Macaca fascicularis: one gene and its partners. The protein of the gene in region 1 interacts with the protein of each later gene in a pairwise test. Links are inferred from orthologs where the notes say so. Each region holds a gene or a part of one and is shown on either strand. Other genes may lie near its edges. The genes, in order: NFYC, DR1 and SREBF2.

Evidence for each region.
Region 2: the proteins of NFYC (region 1) and DR1 interact in binary tests that used the Homo sapiens proteins (3 or more experiments, as listed by UniProt). The link is inferred for Macaca fascicularis from reciprocal best matches to the Homo sapiens genes NFYC and DR1.
Region 3: the proteins of NFYC (region 1) and SREBF2 interact in binary tests that used the Homo sapiens proteins (3 or more experiments, as listed by UniProt). The link is inferred for Macaca fascicularis from reciprocal best matches to the Homo sapiens genes NFYC and SREBF2.

Annotation. Positions count from the first base shown.
Region 1 is NC_088375.1:194,182,353-194,187,273, reverse strand, and holds the start of NFYC (nuclear transcription factor Y subunit gamma), read left to right. Parts: upstream 1-1,904; 5' UTR 1,905-1,906; coding exon 1,907-2,075; exon of another isoform or gene 2,076-2,198; intron 2,199-4,921. UniProt on the Homo sapiens protein: Component of the sequence-specific heterotrimeric transcription factor (NF-Y) which specifically recognizes a 5'-CCAAT-3' box motif found in the promoters of its target genes.
Region 2 is NC_088375.1:141,054,284-141,058,998, reverse strand, and holds the start of DR1 (protein Dr1), read left to right. Parts: upstream 1-1,664; 5' UTR 1,665-2,388; coding exon 2,389-2,608; intron 2,609-4,715. UniProt on the Homo sapiens protein: The association of the DR1/DRAP1 heterodimer with TBP results in a functional repression of both activated and basal transcription of class II genes.
Region 3 is NC_088384.1:9,777,557-9,782,296, reverse strand, and holds the start of SREBF2 (sterol regulatory element-binding protein 2), read left to right. Parts: upstream 1-1,386; 5' UTR 1,387-1,551; coding exon 1,552-1,639; intron 1,640-1,730; exon of another isoform or gene 1,731-2,312; intron 2,313-4,740.

The DNA of each region.
Region 1 (4,921 bases):
CCAGGAGGTGAAGGTTGCAGTGAGTCAAGATCGTGCCACTGCCCTCCAGCCTAGGCAACAGAGTGAGACTCCATCTCAAAAAAAAAAAAAAAAGAAAGAAAAAGTGAGAAAAAATGTGTCCTCATCCAGGCACAGTGGCTCACGCCTGTAATCCCAGCACTTTGGGAGGCAGGGGCAGGAGACTCCCTTCAGCCCAGAAGTTCGAGACCAGCCTGGGCAACATGGCGAGACCCCATCTCTACCAATTGAAAAAAATTGAAAAAAGGAAAGAAATATAAAAATTAGCTGGCGTGGTGGCGCACACCTGCAGTCCTAGCTACTTAGGAGGACAAGGTGGGAAGATCGCTTGAGCCCAGGAGGCGGAGGCTGCAGTAAGCCGAGATCGTGCCTCTGCACCCCAGCAACACCCCAGCTTGGGTGACAGAGCCAGACCCTATCTCCAAAAAAAAAAAAAGGAATGATTTTTATCCTCTGTGATGTCAAACTCTGTGGCTGCCTTAAATAAATTAGTTAATCCATCAAATTATAATGTGCTTTTAATAATACGTCATCAGCCCTCTGCATCTAAGCATTCAACCAACCATGGGTCAAAAATATTTTTAAAAATTGTGTCTGTATAGAACATATGCAGACTTTTTTCCTTGTCATTATTCCCTAAACAATACAGTATAACCACTACATGTATAGCATTTACATTTTATTAGGTATTATACGTAACCTAGTGATGATTTAAAGTATACAGGAAGCTGGGCAAGGTGACATGCACGTGTAGTTTCGCTCACTTTGGTAGCTGCGGTGGGAAGATTGCTTGAGCCCAAGAGTTTGAGGCGGTAGTGCCCTGATTATGCCTGAATAGCCACTGCATTGCAGCCTAGCAACATAGTGAGACACCATCTCTTAAAAAAAAAGTATACATGGGAATGTGCAAGTGTTTTATGCAAATACTGTACCGTTTTATATTAGGGACATGAGCACTGAAGGATTTTGGTATCCATGAGAGGGTTGGCTGGGGAGTATCCTGGAACCAGTCTCCCATGGATACCAGGGGATGATTGTATTCACTGATGTTCTAGCTTTTTTGTCATCCCTCCCCCACCCCCCGTTCCCACCTTTATCATTGTATTTCCTTCTTAGGTTCCTGGTTGACATTCTAGAAATGCCACTGTCTCTGCCACTAACTTCATACATTACCTTAAAATTTTTCTATTTAAATTAGTTTGTGTTTTCATATAAAGTGCTTTGCCTTGATACCAGTCTGTGCCTTTAAAGTGCCACTAACATAATGACAGATGCCTTTTAGAAATCTTGCAAACTATTGTATGGCCATTGGCATCACTCTGTTAGTGTTAAAGAAGCTGCATTTTCTTTGCACTAGCCCTACCCAGTTTTTTCTTCTTTTAATGCTCAGCAGAAAACTGAAGATGGTCACAACTTTCCGACCTTGTGCACATTGCTTCTCTGGTCTATTACCATAGGATACCGTAGCAGTATCTTACAGACATCTTTGATGGCCAATCAGCAGCAGTTAAATTACCGTAAATTTTTTAAATGGAACTCTGACAGCCAATAAGAAATCCCGTGGGTGGGAACAGTAACAACCCTTTGGCTTGTTTTTAAGAACAATTCTAAATTTTCAGTATTCTGTTTTAGAAACACATGATTCCCTAGTGCAACTGCTATGTGCATTTGCCAGGCATTTCCACCCCTTAGAGTTCCCCATAGTTTGAAGTCTGAATCTGACCCCTGTTCTGCTTCTCAAGGTAACTTTAAAACAGGAAGTGTACAAAAGAGGTAACTGATGACGTGAACAGCCAATCGTGGCTTTGTGTTCTTAGCCAATAAAGCAGTTCAGCCAATGGGATCACAGTGGAGGCAAGGTTTGGTGTCAAATAGCATGCTAGATTGAATGCCTTTGACTGTTAAAGTGGAAGGAGGCTGCAGGGCTTCATTGGAGCCTCGGAGTTTTTCACTGAGGCAGGGGTCAGCTGAAAGACAAAGAAAAATGGCGAATAGTTTGTTGGGGGGTGGGAGGACAGCTGTTCGGGCTTTCACTGGAGTGGACATTCCAGACTCAGGTTTCTGCATCTCCTGCTGCCTTTTGTTTCCTCCGTCCTTTGGGGGGGAGGGATAGGAGTGACTTAAATTCTCCCAGTCCGAGGAGGTATAAATAACTACATGTAAAATTAATGCAGTTCCCGGTAAGTTTAATTCTTTGTTCTGTGTTGAAATGATAGAAACTGTTTAGCTTCAGAGAGTGTAGACAAGTTGCACTGTTCAGAAAATGGCCACTTTACATTCCATGCATACCTTTTGGTGCACCTAGAATACCTTGCTGTGTTTAGATTTTGCATGTCCTTCAACTAGGATTTCTTTCCTAGTTGACTATCGACAGGATCAGGTACATGGAGAAAGGCTAATCATTTTTCAGGGGCACACAGAAGCAAAACACTTTTCTGTTTGCATTGGGTAAACTTAACTGTTTTCCAAATAATTTTCCTTTGTTCAAGTGCACTGAAGCTTTCCTATGGAATAAGCTGAGTTGTTGTGAGAGTTTTTCTGTTTCCACGCACTTTGTTGACATCTGTGTTTTCAGATATGGAAGCGACACGTTGCTGTTAGAAATTTGTGTGAAAATATGATTTGCACTGCTGCAGGTTCTAATGGTGAAGGCCCACATGCCAGTGTGAAATTTTCCCATAACTTTCTTGATTTACCTGTCTACCTCTAGATTCTAATAAGTACTAATTAATGTAGTAACAGTCTTTGTTTTTAATGCACATTTTAGCTTAGAATGCTGGTTAGAAACATCTTCACTTATATTGACAGTGACAAGAGCAAATCTTTTTCCATAGATTTCACACGTTTTGTCAGGTGTTGATTTAGTTCTTTAAAATGATATGAGCAAAGTGCTTTTCATTTTTCCGTATTAAATATTTTAAATCCTGCAGTTTATGAATAGGAAAGTTAAGAGTATAGGCACCCTATCTTTTGCCCTTGATATATATATATATATATATATTTCTCTTTAGGGGTACAAAGCTAACGTAGGTTGCTAATCAGTAACCGGCCAGTTATTATGAACAGTGAAATCTTGAATCCCACGTACTAAAATCTATAATACACCTGATTTTAAAATGCAATTCTTTGTTTTCTTTTTATTTGCAAATACGGAATGAAGGTCATTGGAACATTTCTGCAGCAGACTCAGTGTGGAGCCGTGAGCCAGCAGCACTTAGTCTCTGGGTAGGGAAAAGGAGCAGGCCCTATTAGAGGAGAAGTTTCAAGGGTGTTGATTTGCCTTCCTTAGCTTCCCCTGTAATAAAGGATTTACCTGAGAGGACTGATAGGATTTAGATTTGGGGCTCTTGGAGTTGGAATGATATAGCAAGTCAAAGTTCTAGATGCAGGCCTCTGTCGTTGCTTTCAAAAGTGACCTTGAAAAACTGCCGGGGAGTTGAAAGATTGAAGGACAAAGTTTGTTTATACAGATTTGGACTGAAAAGCTCTATTTAAGATGAAAAGAGACTGTACTTCTGATATTCAAGTCGAGTGGTTAGTAGGAATATGTTATAGATTCAAATTAGGAGTTTTCAGGGAATAAGACAATAGGGCTGCATTCATTCTCTCTCCCACTCTTTTTACTTCCCTCCCCCCAGCAAAAAATTCTAAATTCTTTTGGTATGATAGCTGAGTGAACTGCCTAACAGATTCAGAATTCCTTGCATGCTACCGTGTCTTCTTTGTAATCTAGAGGGTTCTTAGTGAAGGAATAGTATTTTAGGAGTTCAGAGTAGTTGTATTTGTGAAAGTTTTGGGGAATTGGAATGCTTATAAGAAGAAAATGTTCATTCTGGGAATTTAAGTCCTAAGATAAAGAAGTATGTGTTAAGGATTACATTTTAAGAGGTACTACTTTGATTTAAATTTACTTTTTTAAAGTCATTGATTATTTATATGTTATCAGTTGTTCCAGGTTTTATATATGATTTTAAAAACAGTTGTAGGTACTGTCTTGACCCTGTTGGCCCTACAAGAAGGCCTGTAGCAGGGGAGGCAAAAGTGAAGGTGTGGTACAGTATGAGGTAAACCATAAACTTGAGAACTTGGTGGATTTGGCTTCTTGGAAAGACACCCAGTCACTGCCTCTCGCCGAGGTTCTTCACCATTTTTGGATCATAGACTCTTTGAGAATCTGACCCACTACCTGGAAAAATGCACATGGGCATGCCTGTGCAAAACCTTTGATGACTAAGTTATTTTCTAGTGTATGTCAAATGGTGTTTAACACCTTAGCCAGATAGATGTTTACTAGACAAATGAAGAAAACTTTGCTTCCAGAAAGAGCAAAGACCTTCTAGAGAGCTAACTGTAATTTGGACCATGGGTGGCTGTGTGTGTAAGTGGGGGAGGCTTAGATAGGGTCTAGAGATGTCAACATTTATTTACTCTGATCACAATGTTTGAGGCGGTATGGTACAGACCATTTAAAGTCAAGAGATCTGTGTTCAAGCCCTAGTCACCTTTATCACCAGCTTTGTAGTTTGGGCAAGTCAGCCATTTAGTGTTAGCTTCCTCACATGTAAAAATGGGACCTAAAAATAGTGTCTTATTTAGTGGTGAGTCCTGAATGAGATCATGTGTGTCAAAGTACTTTGCAAATTGTGAAGAACTACGTAATATTAGTTGTTACTAATCCAGACTGTTTGGGGGATGAAACCTTTATGAAGATAGGTGTGGCATCAAAGAAAAAAATGCCAGTATTTTAATATTTTTAAAAAGGAGTTAGTTTAAACCTGACACATGTCTTTTTAAACTGCCTTCACCTGCATATTCCTGTTTATGCTGACATGACCCTATTTATTTAATGCATACGTTGAGACCATCCTTTACTGTGAAAGATTCCTGTGAAAGAATTTTAACC
Region 2 (4,715 bases), about 53 Mb from region 1:
GCCCGGCCTGAAGAAAATTTAATTAAAATACTGTTTTTAATCAAAGAAATTTTGTTTTGACTAAATTTAGTAGCACTGAAAAACAAGTGTCCACACTTCAGAAATTAAAGAACCAGTAAGTGGTCCTGGAGAAAATGCTAAATGAAAAAATAGAGTAATAAACTGTAATGTCTTCTTGAGAACAGCATACAGGGCTCCGACAGAATGTTTTAAGAAAACATTGTCAACAAGCCAGGTGTCATCAAGAGTAATGAATCTGATGAACCAAAGTGACAAAATGGATTTAAACGGTGTCTTGTTTTTAGAAATTCCAACATCCCACTATTTATATAGCCTCTTATTCCACACGACAGTATGACAAACCTAGTTTGTCTTTTTTTTTTTTTTTTAACGTTTTTTGAGACAAAGACTCTTTCTCTGTCACCCAGGCTGGAAATGCAATGGCACAATCGCAGCTCACTGCAGCCTTGACCCCCTGGGCTCAATCAATCCTCCCACCTTACCCTCCAGAGTAGCCAGAACTACTGTGCCTGCCACCAAGCCCGGTGGAAAAAAAAAAACCCGTAAGAGTGTCATACTGTCATATGGGAGAAGAGGCTATACTATAAACAGTGGGATATTGGAATGAATACACACACACACACACACACACACAGATATTTGTAGGGACGGGTCTCACATGTTGCCCAGGGGGGTCCTGAACTCCTGGGCTCATGTGATCTCCCTGCCTCAGCCTCCCAAAGTGTTGGGTTTACAGGTATGATGAACCACAGCGCCCGGCTGACACACTTTTTAAAATGCAATTTCTGTTTAGATCTTGACACCTGTTGATATTACTAGTCACTATGGAAAGAAGCAAAAACAGTTAAGATGCTCTAACATTTTTTTTTCCCCTGTAGAAGCCAACATGGAATACACCATGAAAACTGTCTAAATGGGAACCTTCTAATACGGCTCATTGTACGCCATGCATTTCCACTACGTTGGAACTGACTTCTACTCTCCTACTTATCTATTAGGCGACTTAGTCGCCTAGTCGCCTCTAGGCAAGTAACTTCTCTGTTTCATTTTCCACGCAGTAAAAAAAAAAAAAAAAGGTGGAGGACTTTAGAGAGCTTTTACCCGAATAAGGTCTATTAGACATCTTCAAAAGCTTTCTCTCCAGACGACGCAGAAACAGGCACACGGGATTCTGTGCTTTCCCCACCTCCCACTCCCAAGCCCAGGCCCCATTCTTCTCACTTTCAATCCTCATTTGGGCTCCTAAAAGAATAGCAAAGAGAGTTCTTTTATCAATACCAGCGCTCCTCTGTCCCCAAATCCGGCTAGGGATGGGTTCGGAGGCCTCAGCTGCTGGAGAGAGGGTAGAGACGATCCTTCCTCGCCCATCTAGCCAGCCACCACCCCTTCCCAGATCTAGCGTCCGGGCCCCTGACCAAGCGCGTGCTTGGAGCTCTCCGGTACAGTGACGCGCGCGCTTGCCCGGCTAGGGCCCCTGTGAAGGAATGGGATCCCGAGGTGCTTGCCAGGACCGCAGCAGGCGGAAGCTGCTGGCAGCGGGAACGGGCGGCTCCCGTCGGCGTGGGTGGGGGAAGGGCGGCAGCCACATCCGGAAGTCGGTCCGGGAGGGAGGGGGAAATCTGAGGAACGAAGCTTCCGGCGGCGCAAAGGGTGTCGGGAGCGGCTTCCTGCAAATCTTCCCTGGCCTCTGGAGGGACCACCGTTGCCGCCGCTTCGGCTTCCAGGATCTGCGTTCGGGTTACGCGGCCACGGTGGCAGCCACTGCGACTCCCACTGTGCCTGGCTCTGTCCATATTAGTTCCCAGGCGGCCGTCGCCGTTCCAGCAGCGGCAGCGGCGGACATGTTGTGAGGCGGCGGCGCGGGTGTCTGAAGGATGGTTTGGCCGAGGCGGCGGCAACGGCTGCTGGCGGCGGCGGCAGCGGCAGCGGGGCCTCGGGCTCTATAGAGCCGAGCCCGCTGGGTACCCGCCCGGTACCGCGGCGAGGCCAGTGCCCCTGGATCTTGCCTCTGCTTCGACGCCGTTGGGGACCAGTTAGGCGACAGTGCCCGCCCCTCTGAGGAGACCCGAAGGTGGTTCCCCAGCCGCTCAAATTTCCGGACCACCGCGCTTTCCCCTCAGCCTGGGCTGTGCTCTCTCTAGAATCCTCAGGCCCCCACTTTCTTCCCAAACTCATCCTAAATCTCTCACACACGCGAGCGTTCCCAGCCCTCAAGCCAGCTCCTCCTCCGTTCATTTTCTGCACCCTCTTCGCGAAGCACCCCCCGGGATCACTCTCCGAGGGCGGCTTTTTGAGAGATCTCCGTGGAGTAGTGGACCAGAGCCGGGGAGTTTTTAAAAGCCGGGGCGCGAGAAACAGGAAGGTACTATGGCTTCCTCGTCTGGCAACGATGATGATCTCACTATCCCCAGAGCTGCTATCAATAAAATGATCAAAGAGACTCTTCCTAATGTCCGGGTGGCCAACGATGCTCGAGAGCTGGTGGTGAACTGCTGCACTGAATTCATTCACCTTATATCTTCTGAAGCCAATGAGATTTGTAACAAATCGGAAAAGAAGACCATCTCACCAGAACATGTCATACAAGGTAAGTCATGTGTGGAAATTGGTTTGAATGAGGGTCTAGGGGAGCAGTCTGCTAATCGCGTGACGCTTTCATGTCAAAGCCTTCATTCCTCTTCACTGGTAAGTAACTTAATGAAAAAGCCAGACTGGCATGTAGGTAGCCCGTGCTTTAAAAACAATCCCTTTGTAGCATTCTTGCAGTACTTTTCATCTAGCGAATACACGTTAAGGAGTGCAAACATTTAGGTCAACGTCCCCAAAACATAAAGAGTGATCTCACTTTACAGCCAGGTAAGCCGAAGCAACAGGAATTGCTTGCCTGAAGTTGAACTTAGATAATAATTAAGGAACGCAGAAGTTCTCCCTTGGAAAATTAAAAATTCAGACAGAGGAACTTCAAGCATGGATGGAGACAGAGCGCCCCTTCCCCACCTGACCTTTCACCAATGTAGAGGAAAAGATTTATTTTCTGAACACATGAGTTAAAAAATTCTTAATATACAATGTGTTCAACGTTGTCAAGTTTATCGTTGTTGAATAAAAGGAGGTATGTTTTCTGCTCTAAAAATGGTTTGATGGTACGTTCATGAATGAGTTACGAAAGCACTCCTGGTCCATTCTGTAAGAAAAGGGTGAACTTTAAATTTTTGTTTTTTTCTTTTTGTTTGCCTTTATGTCGTTTGCTTTGTTCTATTCTGTGGAGATAAGTTTTAAAATCTTTGATTGAAAGTTTATGCAAGTTTTTTTTTTTTAACGGAAAATTTCCCCGTCCTTTCCTGCTGTCATTCTTATTTGGATGCATACACTTAGGCTTTTATTGAACAGCACTTCTGAAAGCTTCAACAGTTTCTTTTATCCTGAAAAGGTTGTGGTCCCGTAATAGGGATTTGGGGGACTGTATTCTAATGGTTTCAGAGAGGAGAAACATATTTACTAGTCATAATGTTTCGGGAATGTACCTTTTGCGATATTTTTACATGTACTCTTGTGAAAGAGTTGTTCTCAATTTGAAGTGAGAACTTGCCTTTCGTAATAATCTAATTAAAAGTATTGATTGCTTGTGAAACCAGGGAAAAAATGGTTAATTTTAATCATTTTGGTAGGCAGGTGGTTGTCTGTCACTTAATTTTTATACTTTAACTTTTTAAAATGTGACTTGCCTGTTGTACTGAAGTAGAGAACACATCTGCTTCTGTTGACCATATCCAATATTTTACTGTCAGTATTGACAAAAGGATTAAATGATTGATTTTTAATCCTTTATGACGTCTTGAAAGTAGTTTTAAAATATATCCTGCCATTTCAGTACATAAGGAGAAAAATCCCTAGGAAAAAGCATATTTGATTCTTAAAACTAGTACTAGTTGTTTTTTTTTTTTTTTCTACTTGATGTGCTGAATACTCTAGCAAGTAAAATGAAAGCCAAGTTGTCTGTTTTTTCTCTTGTGTATTTATTTTTACATTGTATGTGTGATTGCTGTCATAAGTCTTTCACAAGATTATCCAGCACAGATAGCTGTAATTTCTTTTTACAACTCATAAAAAGGAAAAAGAACTTTTTATCAACATTGCCTTTCTAATGAAAATTGCAAAAGATTTCAACAGGGTCTGCCTAAATATTTGTTTACACTACAGAAGTGGGGATCGTTCCAAAAACCTAATAACACATTACAGTCTGTCTTCTTGGGGAGAGTTAATTCTTTTCTAGGATATATTTAGATTTCTGATTGACATGATGGAATAGAAGTGCAGCTGTAGCAAGCAGTATGCTAAATAATTCAACTTTGGAATATGCTAAATTCAGTTTAATGTGTGAGTCAGAAAGCTATAGTGAAAAAGCATTTCCATTGTGTAATGAAGATGATTTGTTTTTGAAAATCATGTATTGACGTGTTATAGTCTTAAAATTTTACCTCTTTTTTTTGTATTATGCTATTGTTAGGTGGATAAGAATCTACATTTTCGCCCAAGAATTCTCCCTAATTGGGGTTGTAGACTTTATACATTTATAATCTCATATTGCTTAATTATTCCAAAGAAGTTTTGTTTTGAGAGGTTAAATTTTTAAAGAAATTCTTAAGGTTTATATGTTTTAGGTGTTTGAAGTGTGTTCCTGTACACTAATCATA
Region 3 (4,740 bases), on another chromosome or scaffold:
TCCACGTGTCTGCCTCCACACAGCCTGTTCTTAATTATTGATCACTAAGCAACAGCTGCCTCTCACAAACTGGCAGGAAACTTACTTTTCCCTTTTATCAATATATTGTGAACGCCTCTTCTTGCCAATAAATATACATTTGTGTGCATAATTTTTAATGATCCCTTAGTATTCCATCGTGTGGATGTAATTTACATATTCATTTCCTTATTCTCACCTCTTCCTAGTTACAGTGCTGCTTTTTTTCTTTGAGACAGAGTCTCACTCTGTTGCCCAGGCGATCTCGGCTCACTGCAAGCTCCGCCTCCCAGGTTCACGCCATTCTCCTGCCTCAGCCTCCCGAGTAGCTGGGACTACGGGCGCCCGCCACCACCCCGGCTAATTTTTTGTATTTTTAGTAGAGACGGGGTTTCACCGTGTTAGCCAGGATGGTTTCGATCTCCTGACCTAGTGATCCGCCCGCCTCGGCCTCCCAAAGTGCTGGGATTACAGGCGTGAGCCACGGCGCCCGGCCTACAGCATTTCTTTAAGCATTTGTAATTTTTATTCCTTAGGCTAAATTCCTAGAAGTTTACAACACGACCAGCTGCGAGACGGGGCAGTGAGGTGCTTCAAGAAGTGGAAATTCGTGGGTGGGCTGCGCTTCAGAATCCTGGTGGAACTTTTTCAAAAAACTCATGCCCGGGGCCCCCCCTCTCAGGAGGCCGGCGACGGGCCTGGGCACTGGCGTGGTTTTCAGGTCCTCAGTGGTTCCAAGGTGCCAAGGATTGAGGACCACTGGAGAAAGCGCGAGGTCACGGCGGGTGCAAAGCAGAAGACGTAAAATCCTGACCGCCCTGGGACAATTCGCAACCCTGTCAGCCTCCGTGCCCGCCTTTGTAAGGGGGCTGGGAGAAGCGGGACTTGGATGACCCGGACTCCTCCCGAGCGCCGGGGGGCCAGGTTTGACTCCGCCGGTTTTCTCAGGCGGTCAGGGCGCCGGGAGGCAGCTGGGAAGATGACGTAATGTGCTCCCAGCCAGGGCTGGAGGCGGCCAGCGGTCGCAGGTGGAGGGTGGCCTGTTAACCCTTCACTCCCAGGCCAGTGAACGGACTTGCGTGTGGCGCAGATCCAACGGAGAAGGCAGCGGCTCCTTTAAACAAGGCGGAGAAGGTTAAGATGATGACCGGGCGGCTACTCCGGGCATTCGCTCCGAGGCCGCGAGGGGAGGAACCTCACTATGCAAATCTGAGCTGCTGATCGATGACGCGCCATCACCCCACGCGCCGCCTCGCGCGCCCATTGGCTGAGATGAGCCTGGTCCCATTGACAACAAACAGGGGGGCGCGCGGCCTGGAGGCGGGGCCGCAGGGGGCGCGGGATGGGGCGGGGGAATCCCGCCCCGCCCTTTTCGTGCGGCGCCCGGGCGCAACGCAAACATGGCGGCGGGTGGCACCCGCCGGTGAGGCGGTACCGGGCGGGGGTTGTCGGGTGTCATGGGCGGCGGCGACGGCACCGCCCCCGCGTCTCCCTGAGCGGGACGGCAGGGGGGCTTCTGCGCTGAGCCGGGCGATGGACGATAGCGGCGAGCTGGGCGGTCTGGAGACCATGGAGACCCTCACGGAGCTGGGCGACGAGCTGACCCTGGGGGACATCGACGGTGAGTGGTTGGTGGGTGGGTGGGAGTGCGGGGGCCGCGCGGGGAGGAAGGGGTTACGGCGGCGCGCCCGGGTGCGCGTGCGCCCACCCCCAGACAGCCCCGGCTCGCGCGGGAAGAACCCAGTGCGCACTGTCCCCCCGGCGGTCCCCAACCCTTCCGGCGCTGCGAGCTTGAGCCCTGCCCAGCCGCGCCGCTCCGGGAGGCCGTGGGATCTGGGGCGCCGCGGGGCCGAAAGCGGCGCGAGGGTCGCGGGTTCCAGAGCACGGGGCCAGGGACGTCGCGGGGGCGTCTCAGGGAGCGGCCTAAGGAGAGCGCGTGGCTGCCGCCTCCCTCGCGCGCCCACACGCGCTTTGCGTGGTCCGCTCTCCCGCCGCCCGCGACCGTGCGTCGCACCTGTCACTCCCTGCCCGGACGCGGGGGCGGCTTTGGGATTCCCGGGGCCCAGCCCCCAGTCTCGGCGCCCCGAATCCCTGGGCTTCTCGGGATTGATCGACGGCCAGGTCGCCGGGTGCTCCGCGAAACTTTGGGCAGCGACTGCAGAAGCAAGTTGCTGATGAAGAGAGCAGTGGCGGCGGCATGTGGACACATCTCTCCGAGATGGAGAGCCGGGCGCTCCTGCTGTCACGCTGCAAAGGGAATTAAGCAGAAGGAATTTTGAGTTGTGGCCCCTCGGGTACGGGCTGGGGAGCGGGTGGCCTTTGTTCCGGCGCCTTAACAGCGGAGTGGAAGAGCTGGTAGGAGCCCAGGGATCCTCTCTTAAAATACTCATTTTGCGACCACGGGAACCACGATTTAGAGAGGGTCAGCGGCTTGCTCAAGGTCACCCGGCTGGTTAGAGCCTAGTTCTTGCAGTTCCTGGGCCAGTATTGGTTTTTCCATACCCCTCCTTTCAGGAAAGAGTCCAGTTGACTAGGCTAGTAATCTTACTAACTCGATAATTGCACTCTTATGTTCTAGGCCCCAAAATACTTTGTATTATTTCACTTCTTCCTCACAACAATCCTGTGAGATATTCTTATTACCCCTATTTTAATACGGTAATTAAAGAAGCTGAGGCCAGGAGATGTTGACTTATCTAAGGCCACTCACCTTAGAGAGCTTAGGCAGAAACACAGGTGCATGGTACTTTTCAGTTTTCAGCATGATTTCATGTCCAGGATCTCACTACAGCCTTGCAGGCATGTATGATGGCTACATCCCCATTGTGCAGATGAAGAAACAGAAGCAGCAGAAGATTCTCTTTTGGGGGAAGAGATAAATGCAGCAGCTAATTGAAAAGAATCTGTTTGCCATTTTCTCATTTTGCTTTTGTAATATTTCTCCCCTTCGTTTGTCCTTGCTTTCCATTTTGGTCATGTGGGCAGTGTGGTAAGACCCTTAATTGAAGCCCCAGTTCTAACCACAGACTCTTTACTAAGTGCTCCTAAATACAGAAATGGGTTAACAAATGGGGGGTGGGGTAGGTGGGGGTTGGGAATATAGCAAGGGCAGCTAACATGTTTTGAGAACTTATGTGCCAGACGGTGTTAAACACTTATACATGTTAATGTTCTCAATCCTCATAACAACCCTGTCAGGTAGAGAGAACCGTTATACTAGTCATCTCCCTCTCACAGAACCTGAAAGTGAGTCCCAGGGTGGTTCATTAATTTACTGAAGATTACAGAGCCAGTAGAAAGTACTGTATGTCTATAGCTGCCTACCCACAAGGGCACAGAAAGAAATTCATATGCATTTTGCATTCCTATTCCATGATCAGTTCCTACTTGTCTTATTTTATTTATCTAACTTTTAAATTTTACTTTTTATTTAGTTATTTTTTGAGACAGGGTCTCATTCTGTCACCCAGGCTGGAATGCAGTGGCACAATCACAGCTCACTGCAGCCTTGACCTTCTGGGCTCAAGCGATCCTCCCACCTCAGCCTCCCAAGTAGCTGGGACCAGAGACGCACACCACCACGCCCAGCAAATTTTTTGAATTTTGTAGAGGTGAGGTCTATTCTTGGGCTCAAATGATCCTCCTGCCTCGGCCTCCTAAAGTGCTAGGATTACAGGTGTGAGCCACCTGATTTGTTTTTTTGTTTTTGTTTTTTGTGACGGAGTTTCACTCTTGTTGCCCAGGCTGGAGTGCAATGGTGCGATCTTGGCTCTCCTCAACCTCCACCTCCTGGGTTCAAGTGATTCTCCTGTCTCAGCCTCCCTAGTAGCTGGGATTATAGTCATGCGCCACTATACCTGGCTAATTTTGTATTTTTAGTAGAGACAGGGTTTCTCCATGTTGATCAGGCTGGTCTTGAACTCCCAACCTCAGGTGATCCGCTTGCCTTGGCCTCCCAAAGTGCTGGGACTACAGGCATGAGCCACCGTGCCTGGCTGAGCCACCTAATTTTTTTTTAGAGACAGTGTCTGGCTGTTGCCCAGGCTGGAGTGCAGTGGCACAAGGCTCACTGAAACCTTGAACTCTTAAGCTTAAGCAGTCCTTCCAGATCAGCTTCCCGACTAGTTAGGACTAGGCATGTGCCACCATGCCCAGCTAATTTATATATATACACACATATATATATATATTTCGTAGAGCCGGTCTCACTGTGTTGCCCAGGCTAGTCTTGAACTTCCAGGCACATGCAGTCCTCCTGTCTTGGCCTCCCAAAGTACTGAGATTACCGGCATGAGCCTCTGTAACCAACCCTGTCTTAATTTGTAATGAGTTTAAATTACCTATTGGTTAATACTGTCTTTATCCCCATGGATTTCTGAATAAAATGGAAACTACCACCCTCTGGAAACTACCACAGTGGTTCAGTGGTTTCACAGATCCTTTAGGTTTGATCCCAGTGGAAGATGATTCCACTTCTCTGTCCTTCCAGAAGACCTGGTTTATAACAGTGCGTAAGGTTTTGCCGCAAAATACAGTTATATACCGCACAAGGAAGAGGTGTGGCTGTTTTGTCACAGGAGACCTAGGGGCCAGGTTTGGGAAAAGTGGTTCCATGTCTTCAGTTGATCAACAAGTATTCAAGTGCTGGCTGTGGTTTCTGAGCTGTAAGGAATCATGAAAGATACCGTAGAATGTTATGGCTTCATGGAGCTTGAGATGAGA